2 linked regions of the Yarrowia lipolytica genome follow. The protein of the gene in region 1 purifies or fractionates together with the protein of each later gene. This does not show direct contact. Links are inferred from orthologs where the notes say so. Each region holds a gene or a part of one and is shown on either strand. Other genes may lie near its edges.

Region 1 (5,145 bases):
GCTTGAAGTCTGCGTTCTCAATCAAACGAAAGGGTCCTCCTGTCGCGCCCAAACAGGGTGCCAAAAAGGTCGATTACGTCACCGCACTGTATGATTACAATGCCCAGGACGATACCGAGCTGTCGATCAAGGCCGGTGACCAGATTGTGGTGGTGGAGCCCGATAGAGATGGATGGACGGAGGGAGAGTTGAACGGACAAAGAGGTGCTTTCCCCACAAGTTACGTGGAGTAGCTGATGAGACCAACGACTCGAACTTTTCAGCTATGATGCTAACGAGTGGTATAAAGCATAACGAATAAGTCAGTTGTTTGTTCAATGATATTGCTACTTTTTGTTCACCTACAGTGCGATCGTAATTATATACGCGCTGATGGTATTAATCATACAAGTACAGTACGCTGGTAATCGAAGATCACCGCCCAGAAGTTCAATCTACCACTTACACCAGTATAGTATGTAATGTACAACAGCCACACAATTGCCTCTACGCGGAAGCCGCTCATATCTATATTGCAGAATAATACACAATCATTTATTATACACACACGTCCCACTAAGGAGTGGGAGAATCATCATATCGAGGAGCATCATCCGTGGACCAGGCTGCAGGGGTTTCGGCCTGAGCAGGTCCAGAACCTCGAGGATCATAGACACCCGGAGTTCGCGCGTCGTTATAGGCAGCAGGTGTCGGAGCAGAATCTTCCCAAGGATGGTGAGCAGCACCTGGAGTAGGGGCACCCATCATCTCACCAGGAGTGGCAGCAGCGTAGCCTGGAGTGGGAGCCGAGTTGCCGCTTCCGAGATCTTCCCAGCCCTTGTTTCGCGAAGAAGAGCCGCCGTATGTTCCTGCAGACGACGACTTCCACGAAGGCGTACGTGCGACTCCAAAGGCCGGGGTTTTCGACCCAGCACCAGCTGCTCCCCAAGCTGGAGTTTTTGCCCCGCCCCATGCAGGGGTGCGAGACTCTGATGCGCCCCAAGATGGTGTTTTGTTTCCCATTGCTCCCCATGCGGGTGTCTGTGCACCTCCTGCATTGGCAGCAGGTGTTCGCGAACCCCAAGACGATGTCTTTGCCCCACCCCACGACGGGGTTTTGCTTCCCCACGACGGGGTCTTTCCACCTGCTCCCCACGACGGGGTCTTTCCACCACCACCCCACGACGGGGTCTGTCCACCAGACCCAGGTCCGCCAGGACCAGGGGGCCCTCCAGGACGACCACCACCCGATCGCATACCTCTAGGAGTAGCAAACTCCATGTATGACAGGTACGTCTTCTTGTAATCGTCGTAGATTCGCAGCTGGTGTTTCAGAACGTTGACAACCTTGCAGGGAGCGTGAAGCTCGACTCGAGCAATATCGTCTGTGGTTTCCTTGACAATACCCTTGCATCCCTTGTGTTGAGAACCAGGCCCGATAGCAACATGCTTGCCCTTGAGACGGTCGAAACCTCCCTGCTTGGGCATGACGGGAGGAGCCATCTGGCCAGGTCGGGCATTGTAGACGGCAGGGTTCATCTTGGTGAGATCGGGACCAGTTGCTTGAGAGTTCGACTGTGTTCGAGCTCCTTTAGCAACAATGGTATTAACCTTGAAGGCCTTGGCGACAAAGACGCCGAGAGATCGGGAGCTGAGGAACAGAGTGTTCTTGTAGATGTGAAGAACGGCACCTTGTCGACCCTCACCGACGGTCTCTCGAACAGTATCGCCAATTTTGATCTCAGAACCGTTGGAGTCGGTGGCCAGACCTTCCATGTTTCGAGTGAGCTTCATGGTGATAGAAGAAGGAGTGACTGATCGAACAGTACCTTCTTGGTCGAGCACCTTCAGACTGTCTCTCTCCACCTTTACAATGCAACCGACATGAAGAGCGTCAAGCTGCACAAAGTCGTGGAGCTCGTAGTCACCGACCTGATGTGAACCTCCAATATCAGACACCTTCTTGAGATCCTTGGCGAACACTGTGACTTCCTTCTTGTTGAGATCGGACAGTAGAGTCACGGAGTCGTCCTCTAGACCCACAATCAGACCAGTGTCGTCGAGGAAGTTACCGGAAATGACTCGCACGTGATCACCAATGGCAAACTTCTTTCGTAGAGATCGGCTAGGCAGATCGATGCGCTTTCCAACCAGAGGAGCCGTCGTGGCCTCCACGGTGACGATATCGCCGTGTGTAGAAATGACAGTACCTTGAACACCGGTCTGCTCACCTTCAGACACTTCGACGACATCTCCACCCTGAAACTGGACAGCCGCGGCAGACTTTCGAAGGCTCTGGGCAAGAGAGGCCAGATCGATACCGTCAGTCTCCTCAGAGTTGAAACGGGTCAGCTCCTCAAGCTTGGGCGCAACGTTCTCGGCGTTCACCAGGGTGATTTTGAAATCTTTGTACAGGAAGCCTCCGATGTACTCGTCTCCCGCGTAAACGTACGCATTGGGGCCACGCTTCTGCAGATTTCGAGGGTCATACTGAGAAGCCTCCTGCTCAGAAAAGAGTCGTGGGGGAGGGATTCGGGCCACTCGCTTTCGTTTACCGTCAATTCCAGCCTCTGCATTTCGTCCATAGTCGAGACGGGGCACCAGCTTGAGACGAACCTCAAGACCATTTTCAGACAAATTCTCGACAATGGCGAGATCGCCGCCATACTTTCCTCGCTTGAGACGCACGTATGCGCCGGGAACGAGCTCAGTCTCGGCAGACTTGGTGGCTCGCAGAAGATCAACGTACTCCTTGATGGGCACCAGAATCATGTTCTGAGGATAGACGTTAACCAGACCCTTAAGAGCCACAGTCACAGCCTGCTGGTTACGGGCCTCCATGTAGATGTATCCGGTGAAGGTATCTCTTTGAAACACGGACATGATTTCCAGCGGGTTTCTGGACTTTTGTAGAGACAGTTTCTTTCGAAGACATTGTCGAACCAGCTCCTTTTCCTTGCCGGGCTTGCATCGAATACCCCAAATGGAGGGCTCATTGACAGAGGGAAGCAGCAGATGCTGGGGGATCACTCCACTGTCTCCTCGGTACTTGTTGGCTGTCGATCGACCGTACTTTTCTCGGTACTCATCGGCCAGTCGTTCGGCATCCTCTTCGGCGATGGCTTCTCGTCGCCGGTCCATCTCTCGATGGAATCGGTCGTCCGAGGCATCGGGCTCGTCGGCATCAGGCTCAGCAACGAATCCGTCTTCTCCAATGAGTCCATCTTCGTCCTCCTCAAGATCCTCTTCATCTTCATCCACCTCGGCCTCGACATCCAGGAACTGGTTTCTTCGCTCCCGTCGGGGCTTCTTTCGTTGCCGCACGTCCTCCTCATCGTCGTCCTCTTCTTCCTCTTCCTCTTCCTCTTCCTCTTCCTCCTCGTCGTCCTCGTCCTCCACGTTGTCCTGTGTCTTGTCCACCTCTTCGCTCTTGATGGTCTTCACCTCCTCGTCGCTCTCGAGATCTTCTTCAATCTTGGACCGAGGCTCGGGAGAGCCAGACTCTTCTCGATCCGACATTTTCGTGGTGATGTTTGATGTTGAAACGATAGCTATTCCTGTGCTGGAATTTTACGTCACCTTCACAAGGTTCAGTGGGAGGATTACTAATGAGAGGGGAGTGGAAAGAGATCATGTGAGCAAAAGGGGATCAAATCGGGCAAAATGGTGAAAAAACGCTCATTCGTGGGAAATGAGGCAGACAAGGATTTGCTTGAATCTCATATTTCACCGATAACATGTCTGGAAACCACCCCAATTCGCTACCTCTCTCTCCTCACCATGGTGGATAATGATTTATGGGTTAGGGTTGATTTTCCACTACTCCAAGCTGGGACGTAGTTCATTAATTGTGATTAATACCCCGAAAAATGGTGAAGATCAGCTACCGACCGTACGACACCGCCAACCAACAAAATGACACGGAAAGTGTCAAGGGCATGATCTCCCACGACCTGTCCGAGCCCTACTCGGTCTACGTCTACAGATACTTCATTTCGTCATGGCCCAACCTCTGTTTTCTTGCATTTGATGAAGACGAGGAGGAGAAGCAGGCCGACGGGTCCATGGACAAAAAGGCCATCGGAACGGTGGTTTGCAAGCTGGAGGACTACCGTGGGTGCCGATCGAGAGGATACATAGCCATGCTGGCTGTCAAGACAGATTACCGTGGCCAAGGTATCGCCAAAAAGCTGATTGACCTGGCGATTGCAGCCATGGTGGATCTCAAGGCGGACGAAATCATGTTGGAAACCGAGGTCAACAACGCGGCTGCTATGAGCCTGTACGAAAATATCGGATTTGTGCGTACCAAACGTCTGCATCGATACTATCTGAACTCCAACGATGCTTTCCGGCTGATTCTGCCTATCACTGGCAAGAGCTGTCAACTGTCGCGTTATCTGATGCATGCCGAGGAGCCGGTTCCACAGTTCCCCACCCACGCTGTCATTTAATGGATTGTATATAGCATGACGAGTGTGGAAGGGATGTGGGAGTGGGAGTGTCAAGAAACCGGCCGGCAAGTAATGAATGGACTAATGAAGACAATGTGTGTGAATGTGGTGCGCGGATGTTTCAGATTGGATGATAACGGGCCCTTTTGGTTATATCTCTTGGATCAGGAGGGCTATCACAACAGACCATGAGTTGAACTTGTTGGACTTCCTACATAGGAGAGAGTCCGTCAATCAACATAAAAAACTATTAGGTCGTGTGTAGTATGGTAAAGCAATAACAACAGCATCAACTAGTCGTTTTCTCTCCCATTTCCTCTCTCATTTTCTCTCTCATTTTCTCTCTCATTTTCTCTCTCATTTTCTCTCTCATTTTCTCTCTCATTTTCTCTCTCATTTTCTCTCTCATTTTCTCTCTCATTTTTATTCTCATTTTTATTCTCATTTTTTCCCATTTTTCCCCCATTTTTTTTGCAGATTGTTTTTATAAATAACTAATCCCTGTTTTAATCATTATCATTTAATCCAAGCTAAATTCCCAATAAATTCCACATTATGCATATGCACCACCCAACAGAGTTTGAACAATCCATGTTGCAGCTCGGAGCTCCGCTCAAAACCCCTCCACCCAGCTACCCGATACATTATCATGCTGGACCAGAAATCGATAGACCATTTGATGTGAGTATTCTGACAACCATGCATCCTCGCA
Region 2 (3,062 bases), on another chromosome or scaffold:
TTCACGTGACCAAAATGATCCCTCCATGTCCCCCTACTCCCGGAATTCCTCAAAATCACTTTGCGTCACGGTACATAAGACATGCATCTGTCGAAAAATATATTTAGCTGGGTCAGGGTGGTGTACGGGAGCAGTGACCATGCCGCTGGTACTGTACCTACTGTTGTGAAACGGTAATGGAGTTGGCGAGCACTACCGGTAGCGGCGAAGTGGGTAAAATGTACGCCCTGTGTCTTTAACTAGCCAATCAGAGCGTTCATAAAAAGGAAAGTCCACTGGATTTGCCACAAGCCATGCCTTTCTAGTTGCCATTGTAACACCCTCACGCTCTCTCTCGCACTCCGCTCGCCACCTTACATCCTGTATCCTGTAGCATACATTTGACAGCGTCTGTGCAAACCAAATACGAATGACATGAATGCCTGCAGGAGACGCAAGTGGGCCCAGAGTGAGCCACCGGGGCCTATCATATGTCCTACGAGTCATTACAAGGTCTCATAGCGGATTGGGTGGTGGTTGCGGAGCCTGTTGATTACTTGGGCGTTAGTTGGAAGACAGTAGGCTGATGATGAAGATTCTGGTGATATAGAGATGCCGCAAGGATGAAAAGTGGGTTTGTGGACTATCAGAGAGAGACAAATGGAATTATTCCCGAAAACTCCACCTGCTATATACAATTTTCACGAGATTTCGTTATCGTGGATAGCACTTAGATGCAACAACTACACGACATTGTGTGACAGTAGAAGTGAAAAATTCTACAAGTATCAGTACTGATACTCTGATAATCTACAAGTATCGGTACTAGTACATACTGTACTCTGATAACCTCTCCGTGTACAGTCATATCATCAAAATGTATACGCAGTCACAGTCCCTCATATTGAAACGGGCAGTAGCTCGCAACACAGCATTGTATGTGACAATGAGGGAGGATAACTACACCAAGCAAGTGAGGAGATCACCCTGATTCACATGGTAGTATTAATATCCAAAACATGGGGTACCTGGGACGAGTAGAGTGGCTCACAGGTGTGTTTCTACCCGAAACTGGTTGGACACCGAGGTGAAATCGTGAATAGTTGAGATACAAGGTAACAAAAGACGGGAACAGATTATTCAGACCCGGTTAGGTTGGTTTGACTGCTGGAATTTCGGATATGCAATTCTCAACGCCGTTCAGATCAACCCTCTTGTTACGCTGGCAGGTTATGAAGGGAGAGAAGAACAGATTGTCAACACATTACGTGATCAGATATCATCATCATCTCAGACATAGTGAGCATATTTAAATCGTCTGTATTGGTTGTATATCAGTTACTAACATACAACCAACAAGCACGAGTACATACTGTACTGTACTTGCAGTCGTAACCTGCTCAGATACTCCTAGATGTTTCAACTAAAGTTCTAACAAAGTATCAATGTCTTTCCCACAAACCAGCATCAACATATCAACTTTTTTTGTATTGCAAGAGAGTCATTTTAATTCATATTAACACTTCTCAAAGCTGTATAATTCAAATGGAATAAATACTAAGCATCTACCATTACTGTAACATTGTATTTGAACCTCCAGCTGACTTTTGATCTTAACAAATCTCCAAGTAATCTTTCCCATAATCCAAACCTCGCGCAGTAAGTAATCAAAAAACAAGACGACAGAACGTTCATCCGGAACACACAAGGTGCCAACAACCCACATCTCTGAAGTCGCGAGACTGTTTCTCTTCGGCGGTCCCCGCCTCCCCGGGCCAAATACTTCTGGCTCCTCCTCCATTGCAGCTTAGTCATATTGAACTTTGATTGTTTTTTTTTTTGACTGGGAGTACATCAAACCTTGCGTGGAAAAACCATCATCACCACATTTCAGTACCACACTTGATCATCATGTCTGATTACGGTGGAGACGAGGAAGCGTGAGTAGGGGTAAGGAGCGCCAGGAGGGATCACGTGCGTTTTATGGGGACGAACACGTGACTCGCGTCGTCCGATTACGTCCACAACATGGCCCAGCACCCAGCGCCCAGACTAACACAGATTCAACGACAACTTTGAAAACGCCTACGAGGAGGAGTTTGAGGAGCACGTTTCGGATGTGGAGGAGAACGGCGAGGAGGTGAAGACGGACGTGGCCGAGGACGGACGTCAGATCGTCAACGGAGAGGGCGTGGAGAACTTTGAAAAGGCTGTGCGACGAAAGACGGTCCGAGAACTGGCCATCCCTCGAGAAGAGCGAACTACCACCCCATACATGACCAAGTACGAGCGGGCCCGAGTGCTGGGTACACGAGCGCTGCAAATCTCCATGAACGCGCCCATTCTCGTGGACATTGAGAACGCCACGGACCCTCTGCAGATCGCCATGAAGGAGCTGCAGCAGAAGAAGATTCCTCTGGTGATTCGAAGGTACCTGCCCGACGGCTCCTTCGAAGACTGGGGATGCGACGAGTTGATTGTCGATCAGTAAGTAATTGTAAGATAGCATAGATGGTTTGGAAAATGGAATGTGTCCTGTAGAGTACTGGTCGCCGTACATAGGTGCATGATCATGATATTGTATCACGTAATGTATCTCAGTAAAACGTCCGGGGGCCTTTCTCTCTTGGACTCGTTCATCTGTGATGGTTATAATCGATGTCCCTTACATCCAGCTGATTCATCCATCTGGTGCATCCATTTGAGCTGAGACTGCTGCTCGTTTGTCCTTTACGATGGCCATACAATATAATACATTTTCTACCTCTAACCGTTTTACTAGTAGCAGTCCCTTCCTTCTACTCTCCGTAAATCCAAAACTGACAGAAAATGACAAAGTCAAGGAACAGAGTGCCAATGGCTCCAAGCAGCCACGAGGCGTTGATGATGAGATACTGCCGGCTGGTATCTTTGAGCAAAATGGAAGCCACAGCAGTGAGGTTGCCGAGACAGGCAAACAGGAAGAACATGAAGGAGATACCCTCGCACGACTTTCGCTCGTAGTTGAGCACAATCTGAGGCACCCGAGAGCCCAGGTAGAAGGCAGCACATAGCCAGCCGAAAAACTGACCCAGCATGTTCAT

Evidence for each region.
Region 2: the proteins of YALI1_C16204g (region 1) and YALI1_F07675g purify together in Saccharomyces cerevisiae (affinity purification with mass spectrometry, with the first as the bait; 3 studies listed by BioGRID). This does not show direct contact. The link is inferred for Yarrowia lipolytica from reciprocal best matches to the Saccharomyces cerevisiae genes SPT5 and RPO26.

Annotation. Positions count from the first base shown.
Region 1 is NC_090772.1:1,618,776-1,623,920, reverse strand, and holds YALI1_C16204g (uncharacterized protein), read right to left. Parts: upstream 3,499-5,145; coding exon 556-3,498; downstream 1-555. Other genes in the region: YALI1_C16255g (uncharacterized protein), read left to right, coding at 1-233; YALI1_C16200g (uncharacterized protein), read left to right, coding at 3,849-4,433; YALI1_C16183g (uncharacterized protein), read left to right, coding at 5,083-5,114. UniProt on the Saccharomyces cerevisiae protein: The SPT4-SPT5 complex mediates both activation and inhibition of transcription elongation, and plays a role in pre-mRNA processing.
Region 2 is NC_090775.1:766,514-769,575, reverse strand, and holds YALI1_F07675g (uncharacterized protein), read left to right. Parts: upstream 1-1,890; coding exon 1,891-1,919; intron 1,920-2,040; coding exon 2,041-2,470; downstream 2,471-3,062. Other genes in the region: YALI1_F07655g (uncharacterized protein), read right to left, coding at 2,778-3,062. UniProt on the Saccharomyces cerevisiae protein: DNA-dependent RNA polymerases catalyze the transcription of DNA into RNA using the four ribonucleoside triphosphates as substrates.